4 linked regions of the Nothobranchius furzeri genome follow. The protein of the gene in region 3 binds, or shares a complex with, the protein of the main gene of each other region. Links are inferred from orthologs where the notes say so. Each region holds a gene or a part of one and is shown on either strand. Other genes may lie near its edges.

Region 1 (2,780 bases), about 60 Mb from region 3:
TCTTTTCCTGATAACAGGTTTATGTTCCACACCGAGCAGGGGGATTGGACCATCTAGTTAGCATGTTAGTAGTATATGCTACCGCCTGAATAAAAATAATTAAATCGTGTATTTGTGTTCCCGTAACAGAATATTTTAACAGCTTACTGTCTTGTTAAATAGCTATAAAAATACATACCAGGAGAGGCTGGCGGTCAGTGAGCGGTGTGAACTGCTGCGGCGAAACCGCCCAAAATGATGCTAGCAGCGGTCAAACGGCCACGTTTATCTGTTCACTTTCAGTTATCAAATCAACAGTTAAGTTTTAGGTAAATATAGGTTTAATTTAAACGTAAAATAGCAAAATAAATCAGGTTTTCCTGTCCGAGTGGCATTTACATTCCTATTTCATGAACTCAAACTAACCTGTGGCTGTCACACAGAGCACCCCAAGTGGTCACTAATTAGTCCCACCTGGATCGGTTCGGTCCATCCCACAGCACCATAACTGAACCGGTCTGTTGTTTTAATGCCACACACATTTAGTCCTGATGAACGAACGGTTCGAAGTTAAGCCGTACGTGGCAGGAAGCGCGTGGTAAACATTCAATTAACTGTTTCAAAACAGAAAGCAAAACCCCGCCCCCCGCGCATGCCAAGAAACCATTAAACAAACACCACCGCGAAAATCACATCGCATAACTGCATTTTCATCATTTTCAGTGACTGGGCCTCATCAGTGTCTAACACAACAAACTTGCAAACTTTTTCCTCTCCCAGATGAAAGTCTCAATCTGATATATGTGATCAGTTTATTAATTTAAATCTGAATGTACAACAATTAAATATCATATAACCATGTTTTACGATGCCAGTAAACAATGTATATACAATATGAAAAGTGCATCGTGTTAAGTGAAAAAGATGGCAACGCTGAACATCCCGTAAAAGATCAAAGGGAAACCTTTCATCAGGTTCACAGCCAGGACAAGGTCCAATTCTTTCACAGGATCGGAGTTGCTTTAAAATAATCCTCAAGTGTCAGTAATATCAGATATACATTTATTTGTATGATCAACTCTGCCTTTTAACATTTATTTTATGTGTTAAAGCTAATTCAGAAAACATGTGAACTGCATTAAATTATTCAAAAAAAAAAAAGCTTTCAGCTGTACAACCCAGGACCAGACACTGTGTACTTCCTGACCGACCTGCAGCAGATGCTACCGACGCATGCAGGCTCTGTTATGGATGGCATCAAAATAAATCAGAACAATAACGTTTGACTGGACTATTTACACAGATGGGTGCAAGACAGTATCACAATCTGATCATCAGGTCACCAAGACGCTGGATCAACGTACCAGGTGAACAAAAAGACGAGATTTATTCTTCCACATCAGTTTCGGGCCATGTAGGAGCTGTTCACAAGTTTAGGTATAAAGATGAACTCCCGGTCCAGAAGGCAAATAAATGTGCAGACGTCATTCAAAATGAGAATGAAGATAGAGGAGGAAAAAAAGCACATATCTTTCAGAATTTTTGAAGAAAAGAGGAGAAAGGAAAGAATGTTTAATTTCCTTTTGTCCACTGGCAAGCAAAGCTGAACCGGCACTTGTGCCCCTCTTTTCTCCCCACTCCCCTCTCATTTCTTGACACACGAGGGCCAGCTGAGTCCTCCACAGGAAGCAGAAACAATGATGTAGATGATCACCTAAAAAGAACACACAGTGTACTTAGCAAGAGACATTACTATAGAAACAATGCTCCAAGTTCCTAAAAGACACCAACTAAACAACAAATAACCGCAGCCTGGACTTACCAGGCACACCAGTACAATAACACACGTCAGCTTGAGGTTCTTCATACACATGGCCCGAGCAAGGTTCCGACTCGTGGTTTTAAACGTGACTGACTGACGGAGCAGAGAGAGGAAAAAGATGTCAGCCATCTCGCGGTTAGCTCAGAAACAAGAATGGCAGCCAGCTAATCCACTCACAGCATCAACCAGGTTTTCCGTCTTGTCAATCAGCAACTCCAGCTTCTCTCCTCTCTGAGCGACCAAGTCTGTAAAAACAGCACAATGACCCCATCAAAGGGTTGTTTTCATACAGTAATCCACACATTTTCAGGTTTCAAGCACTAAACAGGTACAGCATGGAGAACACACCAACTGATAGAATCACTAAGATGCTCACTTGAGAGGAAAAAACAAACAAAAATACACTAGAAACCCAAAATGACTCCAACGAAAATGGTTTTTTGCTCAGAATTCAAAGAGCTTCTTTTCTTTTCTGAGCTGCAGCATCTCAGGCATGAAGTGAGCATAAAATGTGTTCTATAATTATTGTCACAACTGCACTAGTGCGTTTGTAAACGTGTGGTGTGGTTAAGTGCCAGGTATAGCCTGGAGCTCCTGAGCTTTTTGCTAAGACAGAACCAGGACTACAGTACCGTATTAACTATTCAAGTGAACAAACAGTAAAACCCAACATCAGTGACAAAGAATCAAGTCAGTCTGTGAACAAAGCTGTCACAAATATGGGCTGAGATTGGACAAATATCGCCACCTAGGGGCCCCATTGTGTCTCACAGGAAAAGTGTTCTCACACATGCATATTATACTCATTTATTTTTGAATGATGCAGCTTTATTTTACTGATTTGGTTGTAAGTTTCCTGTTGAGGCAACAGAAAACTTAGTAAATAAATAATGGTAAGCAGCACCTTTTCTGCCAGGTGGCTGCAGAACCTTCACATATTTTACTTCAGTCGAAAATTAACTAAAAACAATGTCAGATC
Region 2 (4,563 bases), on a different chromosome or scaffold from region 3:
AGTATCATCTGATCTAATATTTTTAAATGATGACATCAAACAGACATAAAATAAGAAGTTATGGGCAAATATTGGTATTTTAAAGACTAAAGGAGAAAAATGTAAACAAATAAACAACATAATTACAAAATAACACATTTTAGGCAAAATTTTGACACAAACTGAGGACAATATTTTCCTGATATACAGGGTTTATTTAGTTATCTGAAAATGTAACACGTTAACAAAAATACAGCGATAATACCGAAAACCGTGATAATTTTGGTCACAATAACCGTGAGGTTAAATTTTCACACCGTGACAACCCTACTTCTGAACAAGTTTCAGTTGCTTCACAGCTTTTTTGGGAAGACCAAGACTTGCTGCTGAGAAAAAAGTGAGTTTGACAAACACCTAGAAAAGCTATCAACTCATCGGACTCACATACAGATTTGAGTCTGGAGACTTTGGTGGCCAGATTCTCAGCCATCCGTTTGTTTTCAGCATCCAGCATGTCGTCAACTGAGCCGTGACCTGAACAAGCACAGAAATACAACCTGTCACATTTCTGTGATGGTTTCAAACATCTGCTTTATCACACTAACTAAACGTCTCGTCTGTAATAGATTTAAAACAATGTTAATACACAGATCTCAATAGTGTTAATTCCATTCGTTCGTAAGGAATACTTTTTCCACACAAAAACTAAATGAGAATTGAAATAAAAGGTTGGATTAAAGACTCAAAGGATCAACATGAAACAATGAAAATCCAATGAGAGGACAGGGAAGATACGAAGAACGAACAAAAGAACCAGTCAGCAAATGGAACAGGCAGAACTAGAAAAGAACCAGTCGAAGTCCGAAGCTTGGTGCTGTTTGAACAAGATCCTGTTAAAGTGACAGTGTGTAGTTTTCACCTTTAATCTCTGGAAATATCCACCGAACTGTTGTCGTAAAAGAATTAAAACAGTTGTTGAAAAAATATTGGCAGTTTAAAAACAAGTTACCATAAAGATCTGTTGTAAAATACATTGGAAAGGGACAGAGGGTGTTTCTCAATGCCAAGGAACCTCGCCTTGATGTCTTGACCCTGCCCCGGTTGCCTAGGAGATACGTCATCAGGAGCTGCCAAGACGCGTTCCAATGTTCATGTTCTACCAAGGCGTGTGTTCTCCGTTAGTTAGCTGTTTAGCTAGCTGAGCAAGGATACACAGAAGGTGTCTTTTAGCCTAGCCTTGGCAAAACTTTCCCAGAATACACCGCAGTATTTTCAAAAGCATGGCGGATCAAAAACCGGCAGCTACTTCGGGGGCAAATTTCAAGTTTAAAAGTAAGAGAACTAATTTAAAATGTTTCTTTTTTAGATCCAACGAAGTTATCTATTGTTGGTTGGCTGCTTATTAGTTGCAGCTTCGGTGGCTAGCGGGTAGTAACTTGCTTATATTTTTAATTTAATAAACATACACAATTTTAAAAGTAAACACCTCGTTATATATTTATATTGAAACTAATACGTATAAAATATATCGTTATGTCCCGTTTCATGTGATGTTACATGGCTGTCGTGGAAGCTGCGGTCACGTGATGCAAGTCTGTTCCATTTAAACGTTTTCTTTGACCAAGGAAGAACAGTGTCCTCGTAAGTAAGGCACCTGGCCTAGCAAGACATCGCCTCGCAAAGCCAGGTGCCTTCACATTGAGAAACACCCTGTCACCGAGCGATGCCATATTGGATGCCATGTTTCCTTCTACGGAAGTCTGAGGACAAAATGCATTTACTGATATGTGACAAGTGGTTATAAACTTTGAGCATTAATACACATTGTTGCTTTACACATTTACCTCTTCACTCGTTTAGTGATGAAAGGGAATCTGGTGTTATTTTGATGGAGGTTGCACTCCCAGGGATTTTTGACCCTAAGTGCCATCAGTTGGTAAGGTCTTATTTGAACACAAAAATAATGCTTGCTTGCTGTGATTCGGGTATCTACTGCCCCCTATCGCCAGGAAAACTACACATGGTCACTTTAGGCAACAGCTGAACAATTTATGTCAAAAAAGGAGAGAATGTCCACGGCTGGGAGGAAAAGCATTAAAAGTGATGATCTGGAAAAAAAGACTTCTGGACAGAAAAAAAGCAAGGACACCAACTTTTACTTTGAAAGTGTTATCAGTTAAAACTGAACTGAGATCAGAGTCAGCAACAGGATCAGAACATAATCAGGTGGGAAACAGATTAGAGTGAAACATGCATTTCTTCAAGACGTGACTGATAAAGGTGTTCTGTTTTATTTTTCTGTCTCTGTGGTGCTGTGTGACCTGTACTTACATGTGTGTACTGCTCCGTAGTAAAAGTAACATTTAAAACCTTTTTTATACTAGTGGTGCGTTCAGGAAAGGTTTACTTAAAGGAAACCCCGGTTATGTTCCATAAAGACCATCTTATGTCAGCCAAATTATCCAAACAAAACTAAATATGAAAAGTAAGCCTCAAATCCTGTTTTACTGTTGTTGTCTGCCCTTTCACCATTTAAATGAAAGTCAACCACGAGCTAAACCTCCGATTGTCTTTTCTTTATTCATAATCTGAGAAACGTCCCGTTTTTATCGCTTTATCTGCTTTGCTCAGCGAAGAAGGTGTTGTTAAACAGCTAGTGCTAGCCTCATGCTAGCCCAGCTGGGGGTTCGGGCTCTGAACCGTTGGTTCTGATGTCTGCTGACGTCACAGTCCCCCTCGCACCGCTATAAAATGGCATTTCAACCATCAACATCACAAATAAACTATAAGATAAAAGTGAATACGTGTCCAAATTCAAACCCACCTCTGTTCCAGTCCGCCATGTTGGTGAGCTACGTCACGATCAGGTGCTCAGCCACGTGATCACCGCCAACAGTCTAAGGACAGCTGTGGTAGGTTGTCGTATCATTTAATCAAAACAACCATCTATTGTCTTCTAGAATTTTTTTAATTAGCCAGATTTTCTATTTATTGTTCAGAACTAAAGTTGAAAACATTTAAAAATCATACTTCTATAACAACTAAATGATAAATGCCAAATGAGCAAAGAACACGTTTCTTAAATCAGTCCCTCCCTGACTATACAGATGATTGCAATATTTTGTGATAATTTCAGGTTTAATATAAGTTTAAAGTGACAGTGTGCATTTTCCCTGGCGACAGGGGGCAGAAGATACCTAAAGCAATGCAAGCAAGCAGTATATGTGGCCGTGTTCCAGATAAGCCAGTTCTGTGCAGATTAGATCAGCGGTGATCGGCGAGCTGTGCATGGCGGTTAGATTTGTGTCCAACTTGACGCCGACTTGGTCTGACGTCATGCATACGTAGGCAACGATAACCTCGTGAGATCAAAGTGGCCGCAGATTTTGGAGCAAGGTGCTGCAGTTACTCTCCCTCGGCTGCAAAACCTTGGGGTTGACGGGAAACGCCTGTCTCTCACCTGATCTAAGATCTGATTGGTTCATATTTTGATCCGAACATCCGGTGGTAGAACATAAAATGTTAGTTGGTCACATGTATTCTGTGAATCATGTTATGCTGATGATGACAACAATATAGGCCATAAAGAGAAATGTGTTTTGTGTTCTTTTGTCACGTTTCCTATGAGCACACTAAATCTACAGCTGATAACCTTTACTTATTGTTACAGTCATGTCTTCATATACAATATATGATATCCAGAAGCACGTGAGGATGTGTTTCAGCTGCTAACAGGCACCAGAATTAAAACTGAAAATTAAACAAGTATGAACGCTAACGCGATGTGTTCATCCGGTCGTCACCCATGAGCTACACATGTAGGGAAATTGAGGTTTCCGTTCAGCCCACAGCACAGAAACTGCCCTGATCCGTGTTATGAATGATTTACTTCTAACTGCGGATCAGGGCTCACCATCTCTCCTCCTCCTACTGGATCTGTCAGCGGCGTTTGACACTGTGGACCATACCATCTTACTAAATCAACTCCAGACTGTGGTTGGCCTTTCGGCAACCACACTACATTGGTTGCAGGAGTACCTTACGGGCAGAACGGAATTTGTAGCTTCAGGACAATGTCAGTCATCCCCCTACACTGTAAATTGTGGAGTACCACAGGGGTCAGTTCTTGGGCCAAACCTTTTCTCCATCTACATGCTTCCACTTGGACAAATTTTCCATAAATACAAAATATCGTTTCACTGTTATGCAGACGACACTCAGTTATACATGAAAATGGACTCCACTATACCTAAAACTCTTCCATCTGTACTTCAGGTCTGCCTGGAGGAGATGAGCATAACAGCATGGATGATCGCAAATTTTCTTCAACTAAACAGTAATAAAACTAAACAGTAATAAAACGGAATCTATCATTATCGGCACTCCACATCAAACACATCAAACACAGTCTCTCTCCCTTAGCAGTAATTCCATTTTCGGTCATGACATTCCCCTTTCCTCTACTGTAACAAATCTTGGTATCAGACTAGATTCAAATCTTACATTTGACACCCACATCCGCCACCTCTGCAAGGTCTCTTTTCTCCACCTAAAAAACATTGCTAAACTCCGTCCCTCTCTTTC
Region 3 (3,849 bases):
TTAGACCTTCCAATGCAATGGTAGGCGGGGTTTTTCCTGCGTTCAAATTTGTGCGGCGGCCGCCTCCAGCTATTTTTCTGCCGCCCCATCCTGATTTCACTCTGCCCCCAGCTATATGGATGTTATTTTAACATCCATGTTGAGTGGAGAGGACGCAGAGCGCTGATCGTTGGTGCGCCCGCTGCGTCCACCACACGATACATTTTCAAGGTGGCACAACAAAACTATTATTAACACATGATTATTCATATCTGTTTATATCCTCTGGTACTCTGTCTTTTAATCGTTCCTGACACGCTCCGCTCATCCTGTGCTGCGGTGATTTCACCTCACTGACGCAGCATCAAAATGCGCACTACGCTTTGCGGTCAGGAGATCCCTTTGATCTGTTCAAAAGTAACTGATGAGGTGAAAAAGTAAGAAGCCAGACAGCAGCTTTTCTAGAGAATTTAGAGGAGATGCAGGAAGATGAGAGACAGACAGGACAGGACAATAGTCAAATAAAAACAAGAAAACAAAGCTTGAAAGTAAAACGTACGTAGATTTATCTCCACTACACGTTTTTACCAGTATAAAACAATAAGTTATCCACATGTAATATTTGTACATCTGATACAATTCAGATCACCTTCAAAACTCAGTCACACGCCCAGGGCCGTTTCAAGGCATTTTGGGGGCCAAGGCAAAACGGAACACCCCCTAACCCTAACCCGTACATAATAGACATGCCACCATTACATTGTTAGCAGCAGAAATTAAATGTTATTACCATTTCCAATACAAATGCATGTTAATGAAATGCATTATATTTTACTGGATATATTTGTGTTATTTTGACTAAGATGAGTGTTATTAATACAAACCTAAAATGTTACTGAAATATAGGTCATATTTAAAAATATTTTTAACTATAAATATCAGATGGGAAAAAGGAAACTAAACACTAATCTAAAATTATTGAGCCTTTTATAATATTTTGCCTTTAAAAAGTGAGGCAGTTGAATGCACAGAGTATGCATGTGCTGGCACATGGTCAGGGTGGTACCACCTCTGCCTCAATTTGAGGCAGGAAAAACCCTGGTAGGTATGATGAAACATTACCGTTAGCACTATCGAGATGTTTTTTTTTATAAAGTACAAGTTATTTTTGTGAGCCATTACTTCAACCCAGAAATAAGAGGCTCAGATTAAATCAAACCCTGCTTCCTGCAATGTGAATTTCAAATTAGCACACAGCTGCAGACTTGGAGACCAGAGGTTCAAGCTGACATGTGCAACTCAATGACTGCATTATTTAAAGTGCAGACTAGACAGGAAAGAAATCACAACTGTGGAGATTAAAGTCTCTGCTAGCTACATGGAGAGACTGGGTGTTAGTGTTTACAGTCCAGGGGAGGAGGGATGCAGACTCAAAACCACCTAGATGAGGATAATAAAGTCGTGACATAGCAATAACCCACCCAGCAGCATGAAACAGCTTAGCAAAAAGTTGCAGAGCTAAAGGAAAGAAAATGCTTCGACATAAAAATGCATGCACACATGCATAAAAATAAATAAATTTGGGTTGTTTTTCATGAGGAAGTAATATAACATGGTCAAAACCCTCAAAAAGTAGATTTTGCATGATATAAGACCTTAAAATAAGTTTTTTAAACCATTATTTTGAACAAATATGAAATATACCATATGCAGATCAGATATTACAAATACACAAAATGTACCTGTAATGAGACCACTATAGTGTTGGAATGGGTCTGGATGTGTCGGCCACCAGGAGCACTGCGGGACCTGATCAAGTCCTGCAGCTGTGCAATCTGTTTGTTTAGGCTGTTGATATCCTTTGGACAGAAGAACATATGAAAAAGTCAGTATTTTAATAAACAAAAACTGATATTTTTAATACACATTTATAAACCTCACACCTGCTGGAGAGCAACTTCAACCTACCTGTTTAATGATGTAGGTTAGCTCCTCAATCTCCACTGCCTTGTCATCAAATAAAGATTTCTTTTTGGCCACTGAAATAACAAAGCAATAGCACGCAAAAATCAGCACTTCGGAAAACAAAATATTTATTTCTGCAGAAATGACAAAACCATCACTTACAAATTGTGAGTTTTTCCAATTTGGCAAATGTATTGCTTAAGTCTTTCCCAATCCTCCTGCAAAGAAACAAGCAGATGAAACTTACTTTTGGTTCTCAGTGTTTCCCCTAGAAATTTTTCTAGCTGTGGTGGTTGTGGTGGTGGGTGGGGATTATGACACGTCTCACCTTTATGTTAATATTGTTTTATTTGATGCACTCCACTTTGAACTGCACCAATCCAGCAACTGCTGCATTTTAATAACTAGTATTAAAAGGTGAATACACCAATATTTGCACAAAAATAATTTTTGTTTTAAACTCTCAGTGACACACTTTGCAGGGGGGATTTGGCATTTAATTTTTCTTGGCGTCTGGAAAAACATCTCCTTTTGCCCCCCTTTATTTGACTTTCTGCCCCCTTTATTTTGGTCCGAGATCATTACTGGGCTGGCCCTATTAAAAACGTTCTACACCCCTGCTTAGTCGACTTAATGAAGTATTTTTAAGTCAGTATAAAAATGACTGAAACACAAATTTACATATTTGGCATTATTGACCAATATCTTTGATTTAATTTATTTGTTAAGAACATCAAGATGCGTTACAGTGATCATTATAATGAAGCACATTTTTCTAGTGCAGAGAGGAGACAACCCATAGAAGCACTGATTTGATCTCATTTCAGAGAAAAATAGAACAGGTCAGATGCACCTAATAAATAAAATTACTAGCATAAACTCAGGAATCGGTTTCTTTGCTTCATTGTTCTGGTGCTGAAAATATCACTAATGTCAAAGGAGATACACAGATGAATGCAACTCCTACTTATTATTTGGAAATTAGTGGGTGTGGTTTACATCAATACATTATTTTAAATCTGAAATTGATATGGATTGATCAGAAGTTGCTATGTGTGTTTATTTGAAAACTATTTACAGAGCAGCCTCAGAATTTAGATTAAATATTTTTGACCACAATAGTAAAGGAACTATTAAAGAACAAGTTTTTCAGTAAAATCAGAACATTAATATTTAAGTATATGAGTTAATACATCTAAACTCATGCAGTAGGAACTACTGACCCCAATTGAAATACTAGAACAATTAAAATACTAGAACCAGACAAACCTTTTTAATGTTTTTATTTTAATTTGATTAAACTGATTTTTTCCTAACGTTGTTGGCATTTTCCCCACACAAAGTTAAACAAAACAATGTTGATTAAGGTGTGTGTGTATGAGAGAGAGACAGAGAGAGAGAGAAAGTTAAAATAATTTTAAAAAACCCGACCGGAGATGAGGCAGTGACCGACGCAGCATGAGCCGTTTTCAGCTCTGTCTTGTCAAATGCACCACGTATGTTACGGAAAAGGTAACTTTAAATATTCAACCGAAAAAGAGGCGAGCTGAAGAAAACCTAGGGAGTACTGAAGAAACGTGAGCAACAGTGAAGCAATCACAGAGAGATCCGTTACTGTCTGTGTGTGTGCGTGGATGCCTGGGCCGGACTGAGCTCCCGGCTGCAGAGTTTTGTGTGTAGGGAGGGGCGGACGCTCTATGTGACTGGCCAATCACGGAGCATGAAGACAGTTACCCAATGGGTATTTTCTTTCAGCACGATTACAGATATTTATGAGTTTTACTCGTTTCATGCTCGTATTCATCAAAAATGCTTTATCCGCCCTATCTGTAACCACCCTGCCCTGCCTCCTCCTCCTTGCTGCCTGCCGGCTTTCATCACAAGCAACAACAGAGTAGTTCCCGC
Region 4 (4,573 bases), on a different chromosome or scaffold from region 3:
AAGAGGCGACTTGGGCAAAAAGGAGGAAAAAAATGCTGCATATGTCAGGCTGTACACAGAAGAATGAATAGTAGATTTGGGGAGATGTGGATGAAAACCGCGACATAACTTTGAGCAGTCAGGATATTCCAGATGCGCAATTTCAATTTCTACATAAACCTTTTTCTGAGATGATATCTGCAGCAGAGGAGACAGCAGGAGGAGAAGGGGCGAAGCATGAGGCAGGAACCACAGGAGTTTGGGTTTCCTTGGAATCAGCAGCAGTGCTTTTATTAAACCGCCATTTCCAATATCAATGGAACAGAACATAACAAAAACCTGGTTGAGCAGAAGTAAGAGCCACTAGGCTCAAGTTTGCTTCAGGCTGATGGTTGGAGCCATCGGGCACCACTTAGAGCCCTCTTACCCCATGGGGAACATAAAGTGCTTCTTCAAGTTGCCTTTGAAGACGTCTCTGTTCATGATATACAGGCACATTCTTTCCAGATCCGATGCTTCAGCACAATTTAGGAAAGAAAAAGGACAACAAATTGAAGTTTATTTAAATTAATACTAATAACTTTATTTCTGTATTTACATAATTTTCTTAATTTATCTACCAAAAACCATCACATGTTCAGGAAGTACATTGATAACAAACATGTTTATATTACGATTAAATTCTATAATTGTCGCTAGTACATCCTCAATTTGTGGCTGAATTAAATGATGCACATTCCTGTGACAGGGCAGATGGCTGGTAGCCTGGCCTGCCAGATTCATCCTCTGTTTAACTCTACACAGAGAACTACTCTGGTTACTCACAGGCAGAGAGGCACATGAGGGGGGCAGGTTTTCAAACTTTATAAAATTAGAAAATTTTAATAGCAACACCCAAAAGTGTTGCTCAGCTTGAAGTTACACATCTCTATCTTCTGGTGTAAAGCAAAAACTTCATAACGGATTATATTTGCAGCTGTGGCTTCTAAAATGCAGCAATAATGCGACTTTGGTGCTTAAAGGGTTAATTCTACCAGTATTCTCAGCAGGCCTTTCAGTTATAAGCCTGTACATTTACAATTTATTATTTTTATTTATTAATAATTTATTATTATTTATGAGTGGGTTCAAGTGAAACGTTTTATTTTGAGTTTTATTTTATATGGTGCTTTGTTATTATGTTGGTGCTAATTTTTTTTTATATTTTTTAAATAATTGATTTATTGCAATGCCTTGATTTTAGTGAGGTTTGCACACATTGAAGCAATAAATTCAAAGCAATAAAATAAAATAAAATAAAATAATATATATATATATATATATATTTCACTTGACTCCGGGGTCTACTGTCAAGCTCCAGTCTAAAAGCTGATGATAGTTTGATGCTTTGCAAAGTCATTATTGAAAAGAAAAAAGTGTAAAGACATCTCATTGGTAATGCAATTCAAGTTTTTGGCTCTTGTGTATTCAAAGCAATTAATAGTTTCAATGTGTTTGTTTCAGCTTTGGCACTGTCTTATGAAAATTAATTCTTATCAGTGTAGGAGATGTGTTTCCCACATAAATAGCTGATGAAGGACTATATTATTTTCATGATGTAAAACACTGCAGACAGAGTCATGGACCATTTTCTTACTTATTTTGTGTAATAAATTACATATTTTATTACATAAAATAGGCCCCCTCTTGTGTAGCGGAGATAAAATGGATACATTTTAATTTCATATGTGAGGCATTTTTATTTTTCTTCTCACACTGAACACCTATGTGTAAAACTTAATTTTTAAAAATGGAGATATTTTTGATGTAGTGATTTACATCAAATTGTTAAGTATCTTAATATTGTACTGATTTTTCTGTTGAACTTGTCAATATCTAGTACACACACACACACACACACACACACACACACACACACACGATTTTATTTGTTGAAGTTATTAATTTCCTATAAAATGAATCATTTTAGGAGAAAATATGGTTAAGTCAGAAAACATGGAATATAGAAAATAAACAGAGAATAGAAGCGTTTTGAAAAAAGTAAAATAGATTGGGTCCTACGGATCAGAGCACATCCTAGATTGTGAATTACATCTAAGGACTGAGGAAGATGCTGGTTTTTTTACACTCATCAAACCTACAGATGACTGATTAGAAAGGTTGATAAAAGTTACTCAATTTAGAAAAAATCTATATTAGGTTTAAGAGTACCTTTGATTGAAGTTGGTTTTAAAAAGCAAGTTAATTGAATATGGCAAGTTAAACACTCTGATTTGAAGATGATCACGAGTAAAATGTATCTCAGAGTCACTAAATCATATTAAATATTCATGCTATCTTGTTTAATTACTGTTCTTGAGATTTGTATTACAGCTATAACTTATTTAGGCCACTTCTTTTTTTTAAATTTTCACTTTAAAATGTAACATATTTTATTGAATTGGCCAAAATGCAAAACAAACTTGAACGAATACCTATATTATGTGCATTTTAAAACGTTTCAACTGGCTTTATTCAGGATAAATATGAATGTAGCATTAGCTGCCAACTGTACAGATACCTATTATAAAAGTTTCCGGGTGAAAAGTTTACCCTCTGCTTTAAATAAGAGGCGCTTGCTGCCTCTCAGAGTCTAGTAAAAGAATTCTAGTCGTTAGTAAATTTTGTTTTAAGAAGCCATACAACGATTATCAGGATCATATGGAGGCTGTCAGAGCTAGTTTCGCTAGCTGCGGTAAAACACTCACCACTTCTTTAGCTCGCGGTGAGAAGCCGCCCTTCGGTTTGCTTTTCTTAAAAATCTCATCTTTTGTAGACTCAAAGCCCACTCCTATAGCCTTGTTCCTGGTTTTGACTGTCTTCACGCTCGCTTTGAAAAGTAAAGTTATATCCACTGCCATGCTTCTCTGTGTGCAGCTGCACCACGACACGGTAAACAAACTGACACGTCACCGAACATGATGTCATTCTCCTGCGACGCTACAGGTTTTCCCTGAGCTGGAGAAGAGAGCTTTAGAATTTAGGTTTGGACTGTTTCAGCAAATGAAAAAGATTTTGCTTCTTTATAATAATCACATACGGTGAGCCTTCCACCTTATATTGTTTAATTGATGTTTGTTTTTTAAGGGAATAGTTTTTATAATTGAGAAAAACCCTTAAAATTAACAATTTAAGGTTAAAAAGTATTAAGAGAAAGTCTTTTTAAATCATGGTCATTTTGAATATTATCCTGTATATTTTAAATGTTATACTGTTTCTCTATTTATCAATTTCATTACATATAATAAATGTTTCAATACCAGGCTTTTGCAGAATTTAATAATGCATTTTTATAGCATGCTGTTGAAAAAAAGTGTATGGGGAGGAAAATTATCAGAAGGTGTGCCTGGTGAATGAGGGTCAGGAAAAGCTGATAGAATTAACTTGTTTTTGTGTGTTTCCTCGAGGAATAACCCTGCAGTCTGTTAAAGGGATGTCTAACGAGACCTGAACAGGACTGTCTTCTTCTTGCGCCGCTAATGCAGAATTCATATTGAACTCTGAGCCCATTACTATATTTTTACAAGAACTAATATGACATTTTTTCTCAAAAGAAGGATTTTCTGCTGAACAATTCGTGACTCCAACAGTTGTTTCCGTTATGAACCTGTCAGCAGGACTCTTTAGTCTCTGAACTGATGGAAATTCAACAACACGGGTGACAGAATTTAATATGGATATCCTGAACTTACTAATAAAACTGTGGAAGAGGATTAGGGCAACTGAAAAGAAAGAGAAATCTGACTTTTTTCTCAGATTTATGACTTTTTCCCCCTCAGAATTGTCAAAGTTGGAAATGTGAGAATAAAAAACTTTAAATTCTAAGACAAAAGCTAGAATAGTCTTTTTTTCATTTTTTTCTTTTCAGTGGCCTTAACCCTCTTCCGTATTAATCAGAATGTGATCGGTTTAATCAATTTCCCTCTGGGATTAATAAAGTATGTTTGAATTGAATTGGATAGATAGTGAGAAATTACTGCAATATAATTGCAGTATTATTGTAAAAAATGTAATACATTTTATACATGTTAATATTTACAGTTGTGATTAAAATAAAAATGATCACACAGTAGAGGAAAATAATCACACAAAACCAAGCTGTGATGGAACACATTAATCCAGATCTATCAATTTTCATCCGCTCATCCAGGGTTGGGTCAGGGGGGCAGCAGCCTAAGCAGAGATGCCCAGATTTTCCTTTCCCCAGCCACTTGAGCCAGATCCTCCATGGGATTCCCAAGGCATTCCCTGGCCAGCTGAGAGACATGGTCTCACCAGCGTGTCTTAGGTCTTTGCTTGGGTCTCCTTCCGGTTGGATGTGCCCAGAAACCCTCACCAGGGAGGCGTCCAGGAGGAATCAGATGTCCGAGCTGAGCCACCTCAACTGGCTCCTCTTGAATCCAGATCCAATAGAAGTTTCAACAGATGTCACTAAATCACTCACAGCAGAAGTTATTGATCCTTCAGTTGCTACCTTCACTGGTTCAGAAGAACATATGAAACACTCTGCACAACACTGCAGGAACAAATGGATTTGGAAATGTTTGTTCTAAGA

What was found.
Region 1: stx5a (region 3) and sybl1 share a complex: the UniProt entries of both Homo sapiens proteins name them as parts of the SNARE complex. The link is inferred for Nothobranchius furzeri from reciprocal best matches to the Homo sapiens genes STX5 and VAMP7.
Region 2: stx5a (region 3) and bet1l share a complex: the UniProt entries of both Homo sapiens proteins name them as parts of the SNARE complex. The link is inferred for Nothobranchius furzeri from reciprocal best matches to the Homo sapiens genes STX5 and BET1L.
Region 4: stx5a (region 3) and stx18 share a complex: the UniProt entries of both Homo sapiens proteins name them as parts of the SNARE complex. The link is inferred for Nothobranchius furzeri from reciprocal best matches to the Homo sapiens genes STX5 and STX18.

The regions. Positions count from the first base shown.
Region 1 is NC_091741.1:28,155,632-28,158,411, reverse strand, and holds the end of sybl1 (vesicle-associated membrane protein 7), read right to left. Parts: intron 2,047-2,780; coding exon 1,979-2,046; intron 1,895-1,978; coding exon 1,802-1,894; intron 1,694-1,801; coding exon 1,625-1,693; 3' UTR 778-1,624; downstream 1-777. UniProt on the Homo sapiens protein: Involved in the targeting and/or fusion of transport vesicles to their target membrane during transport of proteins from the early endosome to the lysosome. Required for heterotypic fusion of late endosomes with lysosomes and homotypic lysosomal fusion.
Region 2 is NC_091754.1:42,729,137-42,733,699, forward strand, and holds the start of bet1l (BET1-like protein), read right to left. Parts: upstream 3,050-4,563; 5' UTR 2,823-3,049; coding exon 2,804-2,822; intron 514-2,803; coding exon 428-513; coding exon of another isoform or gene 424-427; intron 1-423. UniProt on the Homo sapiens protein: Vesicle SNARE required for targeting and fusion of retrograde transport vesicles with the Golgi complex. Required for the integrity of the Golgi complex.
Region 3 is NC_091741.1:87,974,151-87,977,999, reverse strand, and holds part of stx5a (syntaxin-5a), read right to left. Parts: intron 2,163-3,849; coding exon 2,107-2,162; intron 2,019-2,106; coding exon 1,948-2,018; intron 1,839-1,947; coding exon 1,722-1,838; intron 1-1,721. UniProt on the Homo sapiens protein: Mediates endoplasmic reticulum to Golgi transport.
Region 4 is NC_091743.1:54,501,324-54,505,896, reverse strand, and holds the start of stx18 (syntaxin-18), read right to left. Parts: upstream 2,941-4,573; 5' UTR 2,880-2,940; coding exon 2,727-2,879; intron 495-2,726; coding exon of another isoform or gene 407-494; intron 1-406. UniProt on the Homo sapiens protein: Syntaxin that may be involved in targeting and fusion of Golgi-derived retrograde transport vesicles with the ER.